Linked DNA regions of Saccharomyces cerevisiae S288C. The gene in region 3 interacts genetically with the main gene of each other region. Each region holds a gene or a part of one and is shown on either strand. Other genes may lie near its edges. The genes, in order: CTF19, IML3, SCC2 and IRC15.

Region 1 (4,003 bases), on a different chromosome or scaffold from region 3:
CTCATATTAAACCCATAGGAGACGTTACATTGGGCCCCATGCTGGCGCTGAAAGCGGAAGAACAAGCTATAAGGGCCATTCAATCAATAGGCTGTACAGGCTCCGACGGAACCTCGAATTGTGGCTTCCCACCAAATGTGCTGTACTGTCAGCCTCAGATTGGCTGGGTCGGATACACTGAGGAGGGGTTGGCAAAGGCTCGCATCCCATATCAAAAAGGCAGGGTTTTGTTCTCACAGAACGTTAGATATAACACGTTATTACCACGGGAAGAGAATACTACAGTTTCTCCTTTCATTAAAGTTCTGATAGATTCTCGTGACATGAAAATACTAGGCGTTCATATGATAAACGACGATGCAAATGAATTGCTGTCGCAAGCATCGATGGCGGTGTCGCTTGGCCTTACCGCCCATGATGTCTGTAAAGTACCGTTCCCTCATCCGAGCTTATCGGAATCGTTTAAGCAAGCCGTCCAGTTGGCAATGGCAAATGGAACATCACCTGGCGTACATGTCCGGGAATAGGCAAACGTTGCAGATCTCCTTTAACCCGGTTTTCACACCATATTCCTTGATAAGTCCGTAGCATATCTCGTCCAAATCTATCTGGTTAAATCTTTCTCCCCCCTTCCATAGCGCTATTGAAATTTTACTCATGGGCAGAAAACAGTTACGAGGTTTGCCTCTCTCACCGGGCATTGTAATGATGAAATTTATCTGCAATTTTATCGTCGTGAGTCTTCCTTCTCTAATAACTCTTTCCACAATTAATGAGTCACTATTATTCATTAGATAACACCTGGTTTTCCTTTTCAATAAATTAATCAAATTTTGGAAAATTCCAGTTTTTTTGGACTTGATCTTATCAAACTCATAAAGGCTTAATAGACACTTCTGGAAGTTACGTGTTGCCAGTAATTGCTTGGCCTTCAGTCTAACGTTTGTGGAAATTCGCAAGATTTCCCACTTCAGCAGTGTGGAATCTTCAAATTTATAGAACATTTTGAACTGAATTTCAAAAGGATTCATCGTGTTTCTGCAGAATTTATAATTGACCACCAAAACTTCAATCCCATCGTTATGTACTCTGTCTCTTGATTGCACAGAAACTTGAAGATGCGGGTATGTGTGGTCTCTCAAATAACTTAGCCGTAGATTCATATTTAACAAAGGTAACGTGTCGTATTTTGTTACTAGTTCCTTCTGCAAGTTAGTTAGCCCATTGATCCTCTCGACCCGCTTGCGGTCACTTATCGCCGAATTAGGATTAGAGGATGAGATCGAGATTAGATTAAGAAAATCCTGTGTGATATCGTTTTGGAGGATATCACCATTTTTAGTCTTACTGTTATTTTCCTTCATCAAGATATTTTGGTACGTCTGGATCTCTTGTAAAAGAGTATTTCTCCTTGTCAACAGCGCATCCTTCTCCTCCTGTAGCTTCAGTGCGCGTACCTGATCATCATCTAATAGCGATAGTTGTTGCTTCTCGTCCCCATCAATGTTTACATCTGCTTCACCAGCATGATGTGTACCCACAGCGTCTTCCAGACTTAAATGCGAATTCGATGTGTCGTGCGAATTCGTCGTATCAGACGTAAAATCCATATTTGCGTTCTTTGCCGACCTAGTATCAACAAGATCACACTAGCTCCAAGGTATATAGCTGTTTATATAAGTCTAAATTACGCGTTTCTGATTTTTCGGCGGACTCCAACTATTAGATAGTCACCATTACCGGTTACATTACCGGCCACATAGTAGAACGCCAGAGTATATATGCCGTGACCTTCACGGTTTGGATGTTAATGAGTAACTTGCACAGCTATTGGTATTTGGACTTCTTGGCACATTTTTCCCTGTACAGCTTTTCTTTTTTTCAATGTGCGAGGGCCCACGTGGCTTAATACAACACAGTGCAGTCGCAAGCACGTGCATGCGATTTTGAAAGCACAAGGCAGAAACGTGGAAACATACACACACGCACACACCCAACTTTCGAGTGGGTTTCATCCAGGAAGAACTTTTAAATAGAGGCCAGAGAGCGGCTTACATCAGACATCTTTTCTCGAACTTACTTCATCTTCTCAATATCGAGAGGGCCCATTGGCGGGTAATAATACGCATAAGAGTGATCTAATCCAAGTAGTACCTCCTTAGCGCTTTTTTTATTATCACTATAGGTCATTTGGCTATTAGAGCGAACAGCAGAATTTGTCCTTGGTTTTCAGAGTTTGAAAATGCTATTTGGTATTAAACTGGCTAACGACGTATATCCTCCCTGGAAGGATTCATATATCGACTATGAAAGGTTGAAGAAATTACTAAAGGAAAGCGTCATACATGATGGCCGTAGTTCCGTGGATAGTTGGTCCGAAAGGAATGAATCTGATTTTGTGGAGGCCTTGGATAAAGAACTAGAAAAGGTTTACACATTTCAAATTTCCAAATATAATGCTGTCTTGCGAAAATTAGATGATTTAGAGGAAAACACTAAATCAGCTGAAAAAATCCAAAAAATAAATTCTGAGCAGTTCAAAAACACCTTAGAAGAATGTCTAGATGAGGCTCAAAGATTGGATAACTTTGACAGGTTAAATTTTACTGGGTTTATCAAGATTGTGAAGAAACACGATAAATTACATCCAAACTATCCTTCTGTAAAGTCTCTTTTACAAGTCAGATTGAAAGAACTTCCTTTCAACAATTCAGAAGAGTATTCTCCCTTGTTGTATAGGATCTCATATCTGTACGAGTTCTTGAGATCAAATTATGATCATCCAAATACGGTGTCTAAATCATTAGCAAGTACTTCTAAATTATCACATTTTTCTAACCTTGAAGACGCAAGTTTTAAAAGCTACAAGTTTTGGGTTCATGATGATAATATAATGGAGGTTAAGGCTAGAATCTTAAGGCATCTACCTGCTTTGGTTTATGCGTCGGTTCCAAATGAAAATGACGATTTCGTCGATAATCTAGAATCAGATGTCCGCGTACAACCTGAAGCGCGCTTGAATATTGGTTCAAAGAGTAACAGCCTTTCTAGTGATGGTAATAGCAACCAAGATGTTGAAATTGGAAAATCAAAGAGCGTTATTTTCCCACAGTCATATGATCCAACAATCACTACATTATATTTCGACAACGATTTTTTTGATTTGTACAATAACAGATTGTTGAAAATCAGCGGTGCACCTACGCTGAGATTAAGATGGATCGGTAAACTGCTAGACAAACCTGACATATTTTTGGAAAAGAGAACTTTTACAGAAAATACCGAAACTGGTAATTCAAGTTTTGAAGAAATCAGATTGCAAATGAAAGCCAAATTCATCAACAATTTTATTTTTAAAAATGATCCCAGTTACAAAAACTATTTAATTAATCAACTAAGAGAAAGGGGTACTCAAAAGGAGGAACTGGAAAAACTTTCTAGAGACTTTGATAACATCCAAAACTTTATTGTTGAGGAGAAGTTGCAGCCAGTTTTGAGAGCTACCTATAATAGAACTGCTTTCCAAATTCCTGGAGATCAAAGTATTAGAGTCACTATCGATTCCAATATCATGTACATTAGAGAGGATTCTTTGGACAAAAATAGGCCCATTAGGAACCCTGAGAATTGGCACCGTGACGATATTGATTCCAATATTCCCAACCCATTGAGGTTTTTAAGAGCAGGAGAATATTCGAAGTTCCCCTATTCTGTAATGGAGATTAAGGTTATAAACCAAGATAATTCTCAAATGCCTAATTATGAGTGGATTAAAGATTTAACTAATTCACATTTAGTTAACGAAGTTCCAAAATTTTCTTTGTACTTGCAAGGTGTGGCTTCACTGTTTGGTGAAGACGATAAATATGTCAACATTTTGCCATTCTGGTTGCCCGATTTAGAAACCGACATCAGAAAGAACCCTCAGGAGGCTTACGAAGAAGAGAAGAAAACTTTACAAAAACAAAAGAGCATTCATGATAAACTTGATAATATGAGAAGG
Region 2 (3,784 bases), on a different chromosome or scaffold from region 3:
TTTGAACTATCAACTTCGGATGTTATAGTACCCTCATGTAACTTCTCAGATCTGGATGGGGCCGGAGGGGTTGGCGCTCTTTTTCTAATAAAGCTGTTGGGGGCATCACCCAAACGACCGTTTTCTGTAGAATTCTCACTCTTGGGGTTGTATTCATCACCATCATGGTGCTTAGCTATACGCCCACGCCCACGCCCATGATTTGCCTCAGGTCCGTCGATAGTATAAGAACTATCACTAGAATTGGACGATTGTGAACGCCTAAATGGTTTTGGTGGTGGCTGGAAGTTTTGAATAGGCTGTGTCTCCATATGAGCTCTTCTGAATTGAGATTGCGATTGCGGTTTCGATTGAGGTACCAACGATGGTTCAACGTTTCTATCTTCCTCAGAGGGGTGCCCTGGCAAAACTTCACCCTTCATTTCTACAGGTGATGCTTTACTATTCTGATTTTGTTTAGTTTCAGTATGTCTAAATGGCTTCGGTGGAGGTAAAAAATTAGAAATGGGATCCTCCTGTACATTAGCGGCATTCGTTGACAGCACCGACTCTGTCCTCTCAAAATTGCCTCGTGATGGGGGAGGAGGAGGCTCAACATTGTTCCGAGGAGGTAGAATTGGCACTGCCCGTTCTGGTGCGTTCTTCGTGGTGTGCTCAGAAGGTACAGAATCAAGTCCATGTCTGAAAGGTTTTGGAGGTGGCATGATGTTGACATCTACATCATAATGTCCTAAAATGGACGACTTGGAGGTACTTTCATCGTTTTCTTTGTTTCCAGAGTTCCTTTCATTGTCTGCAGTAGTAGTTCTTGAATGCTTTGCTGGCAATGAAGCCGCCGAAGAGGTTGTGTTAGGCTGTATTTTCCCACTTGGCGCAGGTTCCTGGTGTACAACTGCTCCTCTATCCCTATGAGTGGGAGGTGGTGGAAGGCTACTAACGTCTACAGTGGGAATATCGATTTTGGGCTTCGGAGCAGGTGCGTCTGGGTCAAATGGAGTAACTTCAAAATGTGGGGTTGAGCCAGTAGAATCAAGAGAAGGCTCAATCGGATAGATGTTTCCCTGTTGCATTGGTTGCGGTGGCTGTGGCTGCATTCTTACAGGCACAGGCGGTTGTCCACCGACTGGAGGCTGACCTTGCATGGGTGAAGCTCCATAGCTGGGGTTCGAATCTTGCATGTTTGTAGTACTTGACATGGCTTGGCCATAGACAGGCTGAACCGCAGCCATCCCAGAAACTCCTTCCACGTTCATTTGTGGCAACAAAGCGTTGTTTTGGTTCAGAGGCTGCTGTTGCTGTTGCTGTTGCTGTTGCTGTTGCCCAAAGCCATTTGACAGAGGCTCTCCGGGCGCTGGCAAGATCACTTGACCGCGCGGGGGCGGTAATGGTTGCCCTTGTTGTTGCTGTTGTGGTTGTGCAGGTGATGGTAAAACTTGCTGGCCAAACTGTGTCGTGGGCTGCTGCTGTTGGCCCGATGGAAATTGGGATTGTCCGAGATTGGTTGAGCCATGTGATACGTATTGCGGCTGCTGATGACACTGAAGACCGTTCTGGAAAGACGGTGATGGTGCCGGATTACTTGATTGGGTACCATATTGCAGATTTTGCGAGACAAACCCTGTGCTTTGCTGAGAAGCAGAGTTCAGAGATACCTGACTTGGAATTGCATTTTGGGGTTGATTTTGTTGCGGCAGCGACTGGTAGCTGGTTGCATTAGAATTTGACCCATACGGTGGTACTTGCTCTCCATATATAGGCGGCTGCTGTGGCACTACACCTTGTTGCAGCTGCTGTTGCTGTGGCATTACACCTTGTTGCAGCTGCTGTTGTGGATACTGATTATACTGTGGTTGTGCGTATTGTGACTGTTCCGTCGATCCTGCGCCAGGTTGGCCTTGGTATGCACCCTGAAAAGCATAACTGGCCTGACCATTTGGCATTTGCTGTTGCTGTTGTCCTGTATAAGTTTTTTGTCCAGGTTTCAAAGGTGGGGGAGGAAAGGACTTTGGGTCTTTTAAACTTCTTATATCGGTCGGCTTTCTTTCGTACTCCATCTCATCTTCGCTATCATACTCCTCATCACTTGAATTTTTCTTACCACTCTTCCTTTCCCTACGCGCTTTGCTGTTGTTATAGTGCTTCTTACTTGCCTTATACCCTGTCTTGGCAACGTACTTTGTTCCTTGGTAACCATATTTACCGGCGCTCTTCAGCCCTGAAGTGATGGAATCTTTGTTGTTCTCCCAAAATCCCATGCTGGTTGATAACTTGATTTTTTTATGAAAGACCTCTCTCGAACATACGATTATGTAAACTCAAAATGACTTTATCCATATATGTATACACTTAATTTAGATGATGAAATATAAAAAAATAGGGTGGTCCCTGGTTTTCCTGAAGCGCGATTTAGGCAGATCCAGTGGTACTACGGGAAAAAAAAATGCCGACACCGATATGAAATAGACAACAACCATAGTGGGATGATCTGGTCGACTGCATGGTTGATTTGATTGTCTATAGGTATCAACGTACTTCCTTTGGATGGAATGCCTTATACTTGGAAGTTTTTAGGAATCAGCAAGCAACTTTCACTGGAAAATGGTATAGCAAAGTTGAACCAATTGCTAAACCTGGAAGTAGATTTAGACATTCAAACCATTCGAGTACCCAGTGATCCTGATGGTGGTACCGCCGCTGACGAGTATATCCGTTACGAAATGAGGTTGGACATCTCTAATTTAGATGAGGGCACTTACTCTAAGTTCATTTTCTTGGGGAACTCAAAAATGGAGGTGCCGATGTTTTTGTGCTATTGCGGGACAGATAACCGCAATGAAGTGGTATTGCAGTGGCTGAAGGCAGAGTACGGTGTCATTATGTGGCCGATAAAATTTGAACAGAAGACCATGATAAAGTTAGCTGACGCCAGCATTGTGCACGTAACGAAAGAGAACATCGAACAAATTACCTGGTTTAGCTCAAAGTTATATTTTGAACCAGAAACACAAGACAAAAACTTGCGGCAATTCAGTATAGAAATACCGAGAGAAAGCTGTGAGGGTTTGGCTCTTGGCTATGGTAATACTATGCACCCGTATAACGATGCAATTGTACCCTACATTTATAATGAAACGGGGATGGCGGTGGAAAGATTACCGTTGACTTCCGTCATATTGGCAGGGCACACGAAAATAATGAGAGAATCCATTGTCACTTCAACACGAAGTCTCAGGAACAGAGTTCTAGCAGTTGTACTCCAATCGATTCAGTTTACCAGCGAGTAACACTATAAAGAATATTCACCAAGATACAATAAAAAACCACAGCTCTACCTTTTTTGTACATATGAACCTGAAGACCTTCATGAATCATCGTCATTATCAGTAATATCCGGTTCGTCATATCTGCAATGACACCCCACAAAATCCCAGAGACATTACAATTTAGTGTAGAGATCCCGACACAACGGGCCAATGGCTGCTATGAACTAATGTTCACATAGTTTAATTTTGTTGAACTTTCAGTATATATTTGCATAAAATCATATAGACGAGCGCACTTAGCGGAAAGTGCGGCAGTCATACAAGCACGAGGAAAAAGAGGACACGACTCATTTTTCTTTACATGATAAGCCCAACAAAATGAAAACAAATAGAGTTCCTTGTTTTCATTTCATCTAATCAAGAAAAAAAAAGCAATTCTATGGCGATGTAGGAAAATAGACACAATTCGTCTAGCTTTATCTTATTTCATTCTATTTTTCTTATAACACTGCAGCAACTGC
Region 3 (7,351 bases):
ATTTATGTTTCTCTATATACCCAAATTCATTACATCAGAAAATCAGAAGCATAGAAGCTTTGCCAGACCTACAGGTAAATACCTTTATTGCCTTAATTTTCCAAAATTTCGTTAAGTCTTGGTATGGTATCAAAATACCCACTGATGATTCCAAGTTTTTAACCGAACTATATAACTTAGTTCAAGATTTAATAACATATTTGAAGAGTTCCAAAATCAATTACCATGCCCTTTTACTCGATTATATTCCCTGCTTGCTTTCGTCTCACTTGAAAGCATTAAATGACTCATCTCAAAATAACGATTTAGTTTATGAACAGTACTGTAAGCTAACTTTGTATGATTCGAAACGATATCCAATGCTATTCACTGAAATCATACAAAGTAAAATGAGCACCAAATCTCTACTACAGAGAAGCTTTTTGGATAGCTTTTTAAATGAACTTGTGTTCGGGCATATTTTTAATTCAATAGCGGAACCATATTATCTTCTGGAGGGCTTGAATAAAATTTGCATAAGAATAAAGCTAAATTCTGCAGGAAATACCAGAAACGAGGTGACTCATGGAAAGCCTAAATGCGATCCCTGGTTGTTTGTTTCCAATGTAAAGCACAAAATATTGCAAATGACCAGGCTTTTAGCTTATTCAACTTCAACAGAAGCAGCAAATATGAACACTGCCGAAATTCAAGAAACAGCATTTCTACAAAGATATATTTTTACTTTTTTCACCGATGATTTTTTCAAATTATCTATGAGGAAGCCATTCCTATTCTCAATATGCAGAACGCTTCAGCATTGGATCTCTAAATTAAATGCGTTAAACAGGGTCATGTATAGAACATTTGACAATATTGTTCAAACTAAAATTACCAGCCCTGTGACAATTGGCAACTTATTCTCATTATTACGACATTCTTTGTTTCCTAATGACAATATGATGGGGCCACCAAGAGTATTACCAGTGGGTGATGCTTTTCTAGAGTTCAGAGAAGAGTGTATTTCCAATTTATGGGATGTTTGTATGACTTATAAACTTGATCATATCCTCGCTATCAAAAGGTCTGACATAGCGGATCTTATTATCTGCATATCGAAGAATAGGGATTGCAATAAACTGCTAATTTATAGAATTATTGACTGTGTTATTGCGCAGTTGCCGTAGACTTCGTGATGTATAGAGTATTGTTGACAAATATTTGATGTTACCGAAATAGCACTCTTTGTAGCATTATTACCAATTTTTATACTATGAAGTAAGGTCTTAGGAAGCAAGAACATTGTTAACAAATAGCTTTTATGACCTAATCATTAGCACTATTCATTGCCAAATATGCAAATATCTATTCCTTTTGCCCGAACAGGTAAAAGTGGTATTGCTTTTATGTTAAACGCGAAACTGCCGCCACTTCGCTTAAAAAAAACACTGGCTGAAAAAGAACGATGCAGTTTAGTAACTAAAGTTTTTTCTAGCTCAGGCTTAGAGTTCGATAACAACAAGTCACATTCGAGTGCTCCACTTATAGCAATTTTTCTTTTGTGTATTGGTTTGCTCCTGTGTGCTCAGGCTTTTCGTTTGTTGTGAGAGTATTGTTCTTATAACTATTCATTTTTTGAAAGAATTGGCGGCTAGCAATGTCGTACCCAGGGAAAGACAAGAATATTCCTGGAAGAATAATAGAGGCCCTAGAAGACCTGCCTTTGAGTTATCTGGTTCCTAAGGATGGGTTAGCCGCGCTAGTAAATGCCCCAATGCGGGTTTCTTTACCTTTTGACAAGACTATCTTTACCAGCGCTGATGATGGCAGAGATGTTAATATAAATGTTCTAGGTACAGCTAACAGCACTACTTCTTCCATAAAGAATGAGGCCGAAAAAGAAAGGCTTGTTTTCAAAAGACCCAGTAATTTTACGTCATCAGCCAATTCTGTTGATTATGTCCCAACTAACTTTTTGGAAGGATTATCACCGCTAGCGCAGAGTGTTCTATCAACCCATAAAGGGTTGAATGATTCCATTAACATCGAGAAAAAAAGTGAAATAGTAAGCAGACCGGAGGCAAAGCATAAGCTCGAAAGTGTGACTTCGAATGCTGGTAACTTGAGTTTCAACGACAATTCTTCCAACAAGAAAACCAAAACTTCAACAGGTGTAACCATGACACAAGCGAATTTAGCGGAACAATATTTGAATGATCTTAAAAATATTTTAGATATTGTTGGATTTGACCAAAACTCTGCTGAAATTGGAAATATCGAGTACTGGCTCCAGTTGCCAAATAAAAAATTCGTTTTAACTACAAACTGCTTAACCAAATTACAAATGACAATTAAAAATATTACCGATAACCCACAGCTATCGAACTCAATCGAAATAACATGGCTTTTGAGATTGCTTGATGTGATGGTTTGTAATATAAAGTTCAGTAAAAGCTCTTTAAAGATGGGTTTAGATGATTCTATGTTACGATATATTGCTTTGCTTTCTACAATTGTACTATTCAATATTTTTTTACTGGGTAAGAATGACAGCAACTTACATCGGGAATCATACATCATGGAACCGGTGAATTTTTTAAGCGACTTGATAGAATCTCTAAAAATATTAACAATTGAATATGGTTCTTTGAAGATAGAATTTGACACTTTCCAGGAGGCCCTAGAATTGCTACCGAAATACATACGTAACGGCCCTTTTCTGGATGATAATGTCACGGCAAAGCTTGTGTACATCTTTAGCGACTTGCTGATGAATAATGACATTGAAGCAACTACGAATATCCAATTTCAAAGTTTTTGGGATAATGTGAAGAGAATCAGCTCTGATATTTTAGTTTCATTATTCGGTAGTTTTGATCAACAGAGAGGATTTATTATAGAAGAACTACTATCTCATATCGAAAAGCTTCCCACTAAGAGAATACAAAAAAAACTAAGAAAAGTTGGTAACCAAAACATTTATATCACTGATTTTACCTTTACTTTAATGTCAATGTTAGAGAATATTAATTGCTACTCCTTCTGTAATCAGATGAAGGATATTGCACCAGAGAATATTGATCTATTAAAGAACGAATACAAAAAGCAAGAAGAATTTCTTTTTAACATTGTTGAGCATATAAATGACACAATACTGGAAAGGTTTTTCAAGAACCCGTCCGCTTTAAGGTATGTAATTGACAACTTTGTCCAAGATCTATTATTGCTAATTTCCTCCCCTCAGTGGCCTGTAACAGAAAAAATACTAAGCTCTTTGTTAAAGAGACTTCTAAGTGTATACAGCCCATCCATGCAAGTTTCTGCAAACATTGAAACAATATGTTTACAACTTATAGGGAATATTGGTTCTACAATTTTTGATATTAAATGCTCAACTAGAGACCATGAAGATAACAACTTGATTAAAATGATTAATTACCCCGAAACTTTGCCGCATTTTTTTAAATCATTTGAAGAATGCATTGCATATAATGAAACGATCAAATGCCGTCGTTCTGCAACAAGATTCCTTTGGAATTTAAGGCTCGGTACGATCTTGATATTAGAAGAGTATACAAAGGATGCCAAAGAACAAATTATAACCGTTGACAATGAATTGAAAAAAATATTGGAGCAGATAAAAGATGGTGGACTTGGACCCGAATTAGAGAACAGAGAAGCAGATTTTAGTACGATTAAATTGGATTATTTTTCTATTTTGCACGCCTTTGAACTACTGAATCTATACGATCCATACTTGAAGTTGATATTATCACTTCTAGCCAAGGATAAAATCAAACTGAGATCGACTGCTATTAAATGTCTCTCGATGTTGGCTTCAAAAGACAAAGTGATACTTTCAAACCCAATGGTTAAAGAAACTATTCACCGGCGTTTAAACGACTCATCTGCATCTGTCAAGGATGCCATTCTAGATTTGGTCAGTATTAATTCTTCATACTTCGAATTTTATCAACAAATTAACAACAACTATAACGATGATAGCATAATGGTAAGAAAACATGTGTTAAGAATTAATGAAAAAATGTACGACGAGACGAACGACATCGTCACGAAGGTATACGTAATAGCAAGAATCCTAATGAAAATAGAAGACGAGGAGGACAATATAATTGATATGGCTAGGCTGATTTTATTAAATAGATGGATATTAAAGGTACATGAAGTATTGGACCAGCCCGAAAAGTTGAAAGAAATTTCTTCTTCAGTCCTACTAGTAATGTCCCGTGTGGCTATAATGAATGAGAAATGCTCCCAACTTTTCGACTTGTTTCTCAACTTTTATCTCCTAAACAAAGAAGCGCATTCAAAAGAAGCATACGATAAAATCACTCACGTTCTAACCATTCTTACCGACTTTTTGGTACAAAAAATTGTCGAGCTCAACTCAGATGACACAAATGAAAAGAATTCGATTGTTGATAAACAAAATTTTTTAAACCTTTTGGCGAAGTTTGCTGATTCTACTGTGTCATTTTTGACTAAAGACCACATTACAGCATTGTATCCTTATATGGTATCGGACGAAAAATCTGACTTCCACTATTATATCTTGCAAGTCTTTAGATGCACTTTTGAAAAATTGGCCAACTTTAAACAGAAATTTTTGTATGACTTAGAGACGACCCTTTTGAGTAGGCTACCAAAGATGAATGTAAGAGAGATAGATGAAGCTATGCCTCTTATCTGGTCTGTTGCCACTCATCGTCATGATACTGCTAGAGTAGCTAAAGCATGTTCATCCTGTCTTTCCCATTTACATCCATATATAAATAAGGCAAATAACGAGGAAGCTGCCATTGTAGTTGACGGAAAATTGCAAAGGCTGATATATTTATCCACCGGTTTTGCCAGGTTCTGCTTTCCTAAACCCTCCAATGATAAAATTGCATTTTTACAAGAAGGTGAAACCCTGTATGAACATATTACCAAATGCCTACTTGTACTATCTAAAGACAAAATTACACACGTAATAAGAAGGGTTGCTGTGAAAAATCTCACTAAATTATGTGGAAATCATCCAAAACTATTCAATTCAAGACACGTTCTACATTTACTGGACAAAGAATTTCAGAGCGATCAGCTAGATATTAAACTAGTAATTCTAGAAAGTTTATATGATCTTTTTCTACTGGAAGAAAGGAAGTCAGTGAGAAACACTGGCGTTAATAGCACTTTGTCTTCGAACTCCATTTTGAAAAAGAAATTACTGAAAACGAATAGGGTAGAGTTTGCAAATGATGGAGTATGTTCAGCGTTGGCTACTAGATTTTTAGACAATATTCTCCAACTATGTCTCCTACGTGATCTAAAGAATTCTCTCGTAGCTATTCGATTATTAAAGTTGATTTTGAAATTTGGTTACACAAATCCCTCTCATTCAATTCCAACTGTAATTGCTTTATTTGCCTCTACTAGCCAGTATATTCGTCATGTCGCCTATGAGTTGTTAGAAGATCTTTTTGAGAAATACGAAACGCTAGTATTCAGTAGTTTATCTCGAGGGGTTACAAAAGCTATACATTATTCTATTCATACAGATGAGAAGTATTATTACAAGCACGATCATTTTTTGTCTTTACTTGAAAAATTATGTGGAACTGGAAAAAAAAATGGCCCAAAGTTCTTTAAAGTTCTGAAGAGAATCATGCAATCCTATTTAGATGATATCACCGATTTAACATCAACAAATAGTAGTGTTCAAAAGTCCATTTTCGTTCTCTGCACTAACATTTCGAATATCACATTTGTTTCTCAGTACGATTTGGTGTCCCTACTCAAAACCATTGATTTAACTACAGATAGATTAAAAGAGGTTATCATGGATGAAATAGGTGACAATGTTTCATCGCTATCCGTATCAGAAGAAAAGCTCAGTGGAATAATTTTAATACAGTTAAGCTTACAGGATTTGGGTACTTATCTACTGCACTTATACGGGTTAAGGGATGATGTGCTTTTATTAGATATTGTAGAAGAATCAGAATTGAAGAACAAACAACTCCCTGCAAAGAAGCCGGATATCAGTAAGTTTTCCGCACAGTTGGAGAATATTGAACAGTATTCATCAAATGGCAAGCTTCTTACATATTTTAGAAAACACGTGAAGGATACGTAAATATATTGCACTTAAAATATACATAGTATTAATAATCATTTTGCATTTTCCATGCTGATTTTTCACGCAGGTTTTGAGAAGCAACTATGAAATATTGAATTTCATTTACACCATCGCATTATATTAGTTCAAACTAAACCTTTTTTTTCTTGCGGACAGGCAAAATATTAATACCTGAGTTAGTTTTCATTCCATTGTGTGTTTTTACAAAGGTCTTTTCGTTACAAGAGGGCACTATTGCTAAGTTTGGGTTGATATTGTTAATAATAGCACCCACATTCTCAGAAGACCTTTGTGAAATCTGAGATGCAGTGCAAGATGAAATTGAACCTAAAGGTGCCTTCTCTGAAAGAGTTGGACTTATAGATGCAGCATTGTTCCTTAAGGCATTCATTTCTTTTGATTTGACAGTCTCTGTCACAGATATTTCCTCCGCTTTAACATTCAGTTTCATAGACTTTTGTGTATCTTGCCTTATATCCCGAATGACTTCTGGTTCCACCTCCATCGTTAACGGGATGACTTCCCTTCTTCTTTTCACAGCAATTTGCGTTGATATTCGAGGAGCTTTCTTGAATTTTTTTGGATTTGTGGGAACTTTGTTTTTCCATGAATTTCTCTCTTTAGTGGAGGTTTTAATCAAATACGGTTTTCGGAGCGGCTCAGCTACGATAGCAAACCGTGTCATTCCCTTTTGTGATTGATGATCGCTCAGCAGTACTATAATGGAACCACCGCATTGCTGCTCTCTCTTCTTTAGGCGTCTCTCCCTTATTTCCTCAACGGTTATTTTTTCTTCTTCTTCGTCAGAGGAGCTTGCGTAATCTGGAATAAAAGTTCGATCGATTCGAGTATATATCTTGGGCCAATCTTTGCCACTAACCAATTTCAACAATGAATCACTTGAGGCTGGCCTTCTAGCTAAATTGCGGCTTTTTTTTTTCATAGATTCAAATTTATGTAACATTGAATCAATCAGCTCTTTAGTTTGGTAACGTTTAGTCTCCATTTCATTCTCGTCAGTGGGGTCATTTATTTTAGTAACCTTCTGTAATGTTACTTCCCAATTCAACATACCCAGTCTGTCTGAAATTAATGAAAGCCTGTCTGCTTCATTTTCACCATTTACGATGTCCGATTGAATCATTCTATTTTCTTGCTTCAACATTTTCTTGTGGTAAGGCTGATACGTGCTATCAGGAAGCAAATCATCAGTTGGTTTTCTAATATTCT
Region 4 (4,709 bases), on a different chromosome or scaffold from region 3:
ATCCTTTTGAAATTCAGTTCAAAATGTTCTATAAATTTGAAGATTCCACACTGCTGAAGTGGGAAATCTTGCGAATTTCCACAAACGTTAGACTGAAGGCCAAGCAATTACTGGCAACACGTAACTTCCAGAAGTGTCTATTAAGCCTTTATGAGTTTGATAAGATCAAGTCCAAAAAAACTGGAATTTTCCAAAATTTGATTAATTTATTGAAAAGGAAAACCAGGTGTTATCTAATGAATAATAGTGACTCATTAATTGTGGAAAGAGTTATTAGAGAAGGAAGACTCACGACGATAAAATTGCAGATAAATTTCATCATTACAATGCCCGGTGAGAGAGGCAAACCTCGTAACTGTTTTCTGCCCATGAGTAAAATTTCAATAGCGCTATGGAAGGGGGGAGAAAGATTTAACCAGATAGATTTGGACGAGATATGCTACGGACTTATCAAGGAATATGGTGTGAAAACCGGGTTAAAGGAGATCTGCAACGTTTGCCTATTCCCGGACATGTACGCCAGGTGATGTTCCATTTGCCATTGCCAACTGGACGGCTTGCTTAAACGATTCCGATAAGCTCGGATGAGGGAACGGTACTTTACAGACATCATGGGCGGTAAGGCCAAGCGACACCGCCATCGATGCTTGCGACAGCAATTCATTTGCATCGTCGTTTATCATATGAACGCCTAGTATTTTCATGTCACGAGAATCTATCAGAACTTTAATGAAAGGAGAAACTGTAGTATTCTCTTCCCGTGGTAATAACGTGTTATATCTAACGTTCTGTGAGAACAAAACCCTGCCTTTTTGATATGGGATGCGAGCCTTTGCCAACCCCTCCTCAGTGTATCCGACCCAGCCAATCTGAGGCTGACAGTACAGCACATTTGGTGGGAAGCCACAATTCGAGGTTCCGTCGGAGCCTGTACAGCCTATTGATTGAATGGCCCTTATAGCTTGTTCTTCCGCTTTCAGCGCCAGCATGGGGCCCAATGTAACGTCTCCTATGGGTTTAATATGAGGGTACTTTAGCAGACTTTGGGTTTGTACGTCAACATTTTCTACAAAATCCCGTTCGTCTAGACCAATGCTGGAAATATCTAAACCTTTTAGCAGGGGACGTCTACCAATAGAAACCATCAAGACGTCGCAATGATGTACATATGTTTTCTTTGACACCTTGTTAAGCAAGGTGATGTTCAGCTGACCGGCAGCATCGGCTTCCGCGAGCTGCACTCTAGTGTCTAAAAGAAAAGCTATACCCTGACACTGCAAGAGGGTCTTCGTGGCAGAAGCCAACTCATTGTCCATATTTTGACAGATCTCGCTTTGAGATTCAACGATAGTAACCCGAGAGCCCAAATTATTGAATATGCATGCGATTTCTAGTCCAATTGTACCTCCTCCCATGATAGTAAAACGTGAAGGTATATAATCCAGTGACAATGCCTTATCAGATGAAATTATCTTGTCATTATCTATTGCAACACCAGGACACTGAATAACCGCAGATCCGGTCGCCACAACAATATATTTCGCCTCTACGATGAACGGTTTCATGCCGCGCTGCGCAATCTCAACGTGGTGAGGATCTTTGAAAGCAGCCGTGCCTTTATACACAGTAACATTATTTTTAGATAGCTCACGTTTATACACATTGCCCAACTCTTCTATATTATGTTTGAGTGCACTCTGGGCCGCCTGCATATCGAATTTTGCAGGAAACAGCCGCGTGCCACGTTGCTCGATAAGTTCTTGCTGTTGTAGCAGCCGATAAAGATAAGACTCATATAACAAGGTCTTGGACGGGACTGCCCCGTCTACAAGGTAGGCGCCCCCCAGCGAGGCACGCTGGTCAACACATGCTGTGAGCAGGCCTGCTTGCGAAGCCTGCATCGCTGCAGTAAAGCCACCAGGCCCGCAACCAATTACCAGGACATCGTAAACTGCCGCAAAATCCTCCATCGTGCTTAATATTTCGTCTTCACCTCCCATTACCAAAAATGCTCACCGTTAATTATATCATACTTCTCTTCTCCTCTCGTAAAATCGTGCGCATGTTAAATAGCCGCCGAAACAGCAGATGCATGCCTGCAGGTCTGGGTGTACCCCCTGCCTGAGTGTTCCACCCAGGCCTCGCCGGAGGAAAATGCCACCGCACTCAAGTTCGCACAGAAACTACCGCATAAATTTATTCTAACCCGGAACTGACGTTTATCGTGATATGAACTTTGGGTATCTCCGATTACGAAACGACGCCACCCCTCCTTCCCCAAAGCACCGAGAAAAGATTTTTTTTAAAACTGAACGCTGATTGACTTTACGTATTATTACCACTATGCATTATTGTTGTTTCTGTTGTGGTTGTTGCCAGTTGTAATCATATTCACATTGCGTTTTAGTCATAACCACCTTCCGGTATTCATCATTCGTATTGAATAACAATATTTATACCGCAAAACACTATACGGCAAGGCAACTGATTACACTTTGTTTACCTTATTTTTTTATTATTTATTTTTCTAGAAAGTATTGTTGTGTGGCTCTATCCTTATTACACCATCTCTGCTTTGGCATTTCGCGTTGTTTCCTCTCACGGATTGCAGATTATTGTTCACCAGGTAATAATCACTGACTGGCGGCTATTTTCCTATTACACTCATTATTCTTAAAATTTTCTTTTTCTATCTCTATTTTCTTTCTTTTCGTGTCTTATAATAATAATAATAATAATAATAATAAAAATAGTAATAATAAAAATAGTAATAAATAAAGATGGATTTCTTTAATTTGAATAATAATAATAATAATAATAATACTACTACTACTACTACTACTACCAATAACAATAATACTAATAATAATAATACTAATAATAATAATAATCCTGCTAATAATACCAATAACAACAATAGCACAGGCCATAGTAGTAATACTAATAACAATACTAATAACAACAATACGAATACCGGAGCCAGTGGTGTAGACGATTTTCAGAATTTTTTCGACCCAAAACCTTTTGACCAGAATTTGGATTCCAACAATAACAACAGTAATAGTAATAACAATGATAACAATAACAGTAACACGGTAGCCTCCAGCACGAACTTTACTTCTCCAACAGCAGTCGTTAATAATGCCGCTCCTGCTAATGTTACCGGTGGAAAAGCTGCTAATTTCATTCAGAACCAGTCTCCCCAATTCAATTCTCCATATGACTCAAACAATTCCAACACAAATTTAAACAGCCTGTCTCCTCAGGCTATTTTAGCCAAGAATTCAATCATTGATTCTTCCAATTTACCTCTTCAAGCTCAACAACAGCTATATGGCGGTAACAATAATAATAATAGCACCGGAATTGCGAACGATAATGTAATAACACCCCATTTTATCACCAATGTTCAATCCATCAGTCAAAATTCCTCATCTTCTACTCCGAACACAAACTCTAACTCTACTCCGAATGCAAATCAACAATTTTTGCCATTCAATAACAGTGCTTCCAATAATGGTAATTTGACGTCTAACCAGCTTATTTCTAATTACGCTGCTTCAAATTCAATGGACAGATCATCCTCTGCAAGCAATGAATTTGTTCCGAACACAAGTGACAACAACAACAACAGTAATAACCATAATATGCGTAATAACAGCAATAATAAAACGAGCAATAACAATAATGTCACTGCCGTGCCTGCTGCAACTCCCGCTAATACCAATAATTCAACTTCAAACGCAAATACAGTGTTCTCTGAAAGAGCTGCAATGTTTGCCGCTTTGCAGCAAAAGCAGCAGCAACGTTTTCAGGCTCTACAGCAGCAGCAGCAGCAGCAACAAAATCAACAACAGCAAAATCAACAACCACAACAGCAACAACAGCAACAACAGAATCCCAAATTTTTGCAGAGTCAACGGCAGCAACAACAAAGATCTATTTTACAAAGTCTGAACCCGGCATTACAAGAGAAAATATCTACTGAATTGAATAACAAACAATATGAACTTTTTATGAAATCTTTGATTGAAAACTGTAAAAAAAGAAATATGCCGTTACAATCAATACCAGAAATCGGCAACAGAAAAATAAATCTTTTTTATCTTTATATGTTGGTTCAAAAATTCGGTGGTGCAGATCAAGTAACAAGGACCCAACAGTGGTCTATGGTGGCCCAAAGGCTGCAAATTTCCGATTACCAACAATTAGAATCAATCTATTTTAGAATTTTATTACCTTACGAAAGACACATGATTTCCCAAGAAGGTATAAAGGAAACTCAAGCGAAAAGAATATTCTTGCAACAGTTCTTACAAGAACTATTGAAGAAAGTTCAACAACAGCAGCAGGCCGCTGCATTGGCCAATGCCAACAATAACATTAATAGTGCATCGTCAGCACCAACCCCCGCGGCTCCTGGCGCGTCCGTTCCTGCTACAGCAGCACCAGGAACAGAAGCAGGGATCGTTCCGGTTTCAGCAAACACTCCAAAAAGCTTGAATAGCAATATTAATATCAACGTAAATAATAACAATATTGGCCAACAGCAAGTTAAGAAGCCAAGAAAGCAAAGAGTGAAAAAAAAGACCAAAAAGGAATTGGAACTAGAACGTAAAGAAAGGGAGGATTTTCAGAAACGACAACAAAAACTTTTAGAGGATCAACAAAGGCAACAGAAATTGCTATTAGAGACAAAATTACGTCAA

The links.
Region 1: mutations in SCC2 (region 3) and CTF19 together harm fitness more than expected from each alone (negative genetic interaction), as found in Saccharomyces cerevisiae (3 studies listed by BioGRID).
Region 2: mutations in SCC2 (region 3) and IML3 together harm fitness more than expected from each alone (negative genetic interaction), as found in Saccharomyces cerevisiae (4 studies listed by BioGRID, with this or other methods).
Region 4: mutations in SCC2 (region 3) and IRC15 together harm fitness more than expected from each alone (negative genetic interaction), as found in Saccharomyces cerevisiae (3 studies listed by BioGRID).

What each region holds. Positions count from the first base shown.
Region 1 is NC_001148.4:515,258-519,260, reverse strand, and holds CTF19 (Ctf19p), read right to left. Parts: upstream 1,611-4,003; coding exon 501-1,610; downstream 1-500. Other genes in the region: IRC15 (Irc15p), read left to right, coding at 1-527; VTC3 (vacuolar transporter chaperone), read left to right, coding at 2,243-4,003. UniProt on the Saccharomyces cerevisiae protein: Component of the kinetochore, a multiprotein complex that assembles on centromeric DNA and attaches chromosomes to spindle microtubules, mediating chromosome segregation and sister chromatid segregation during meiosis and mitosis.
Region 2 is NC_001134.8:453,293-457,076, reverse strand, and holds IML3 (Iml3p), read left to right. Parts: upstream 1-2,546; coding exon 2,547-3,284; downstream 3,285-3,784. Other genes in the region: AIM3 (Aim3p), read right to left, coding at 1-2,255. UniProt on the Saccharomyces cerevisiae protein: Component of the kinetochore, a multiprotein complex that assembles on centromeric DNA and attaches chromosomes to spindle microtubules, mediating chromosome segregation and sister chromatid segregation during meiosis and mitosis.
Region 3 is NC_001136.10:819,659-827,009, forward strand, and holds SCC2 (cohesin-loading factor complex subunit SCC2), read left to right. Parts: upstream 1-1,636; coding exon 1,637-6,118; downstream 6,119-7,351. Other genes in the region: NVJ3 (Nvj3p), read left to right, coding at 1-1,166; SAS4 (Sas4p), read right to left, coding at 6,252-7,351. UniProt on the Saccharomyces cerevisiae protein: Plays a structural role in chromatin and is involved in sister chromatid cohesion. Forms a complex with SCC4 required for the stable association of the cohesin complex with chromatin, which may act by hydrolyzing ATP from SMC1 and SMC3 heads.
Region 4 is NC_001148.4:518,234-522,942, forward strand, and holds IRC15 (Irc15p), read right to left. Parts: upstream 2,001-4,709; coding exon 501-2,000; downstream 1-500. Other genes in the region: CTF19 (Ctf19p), read left to right, coding at 1-527; SWI1 (Swi1p), read left to right, coding at 2,781-4,709.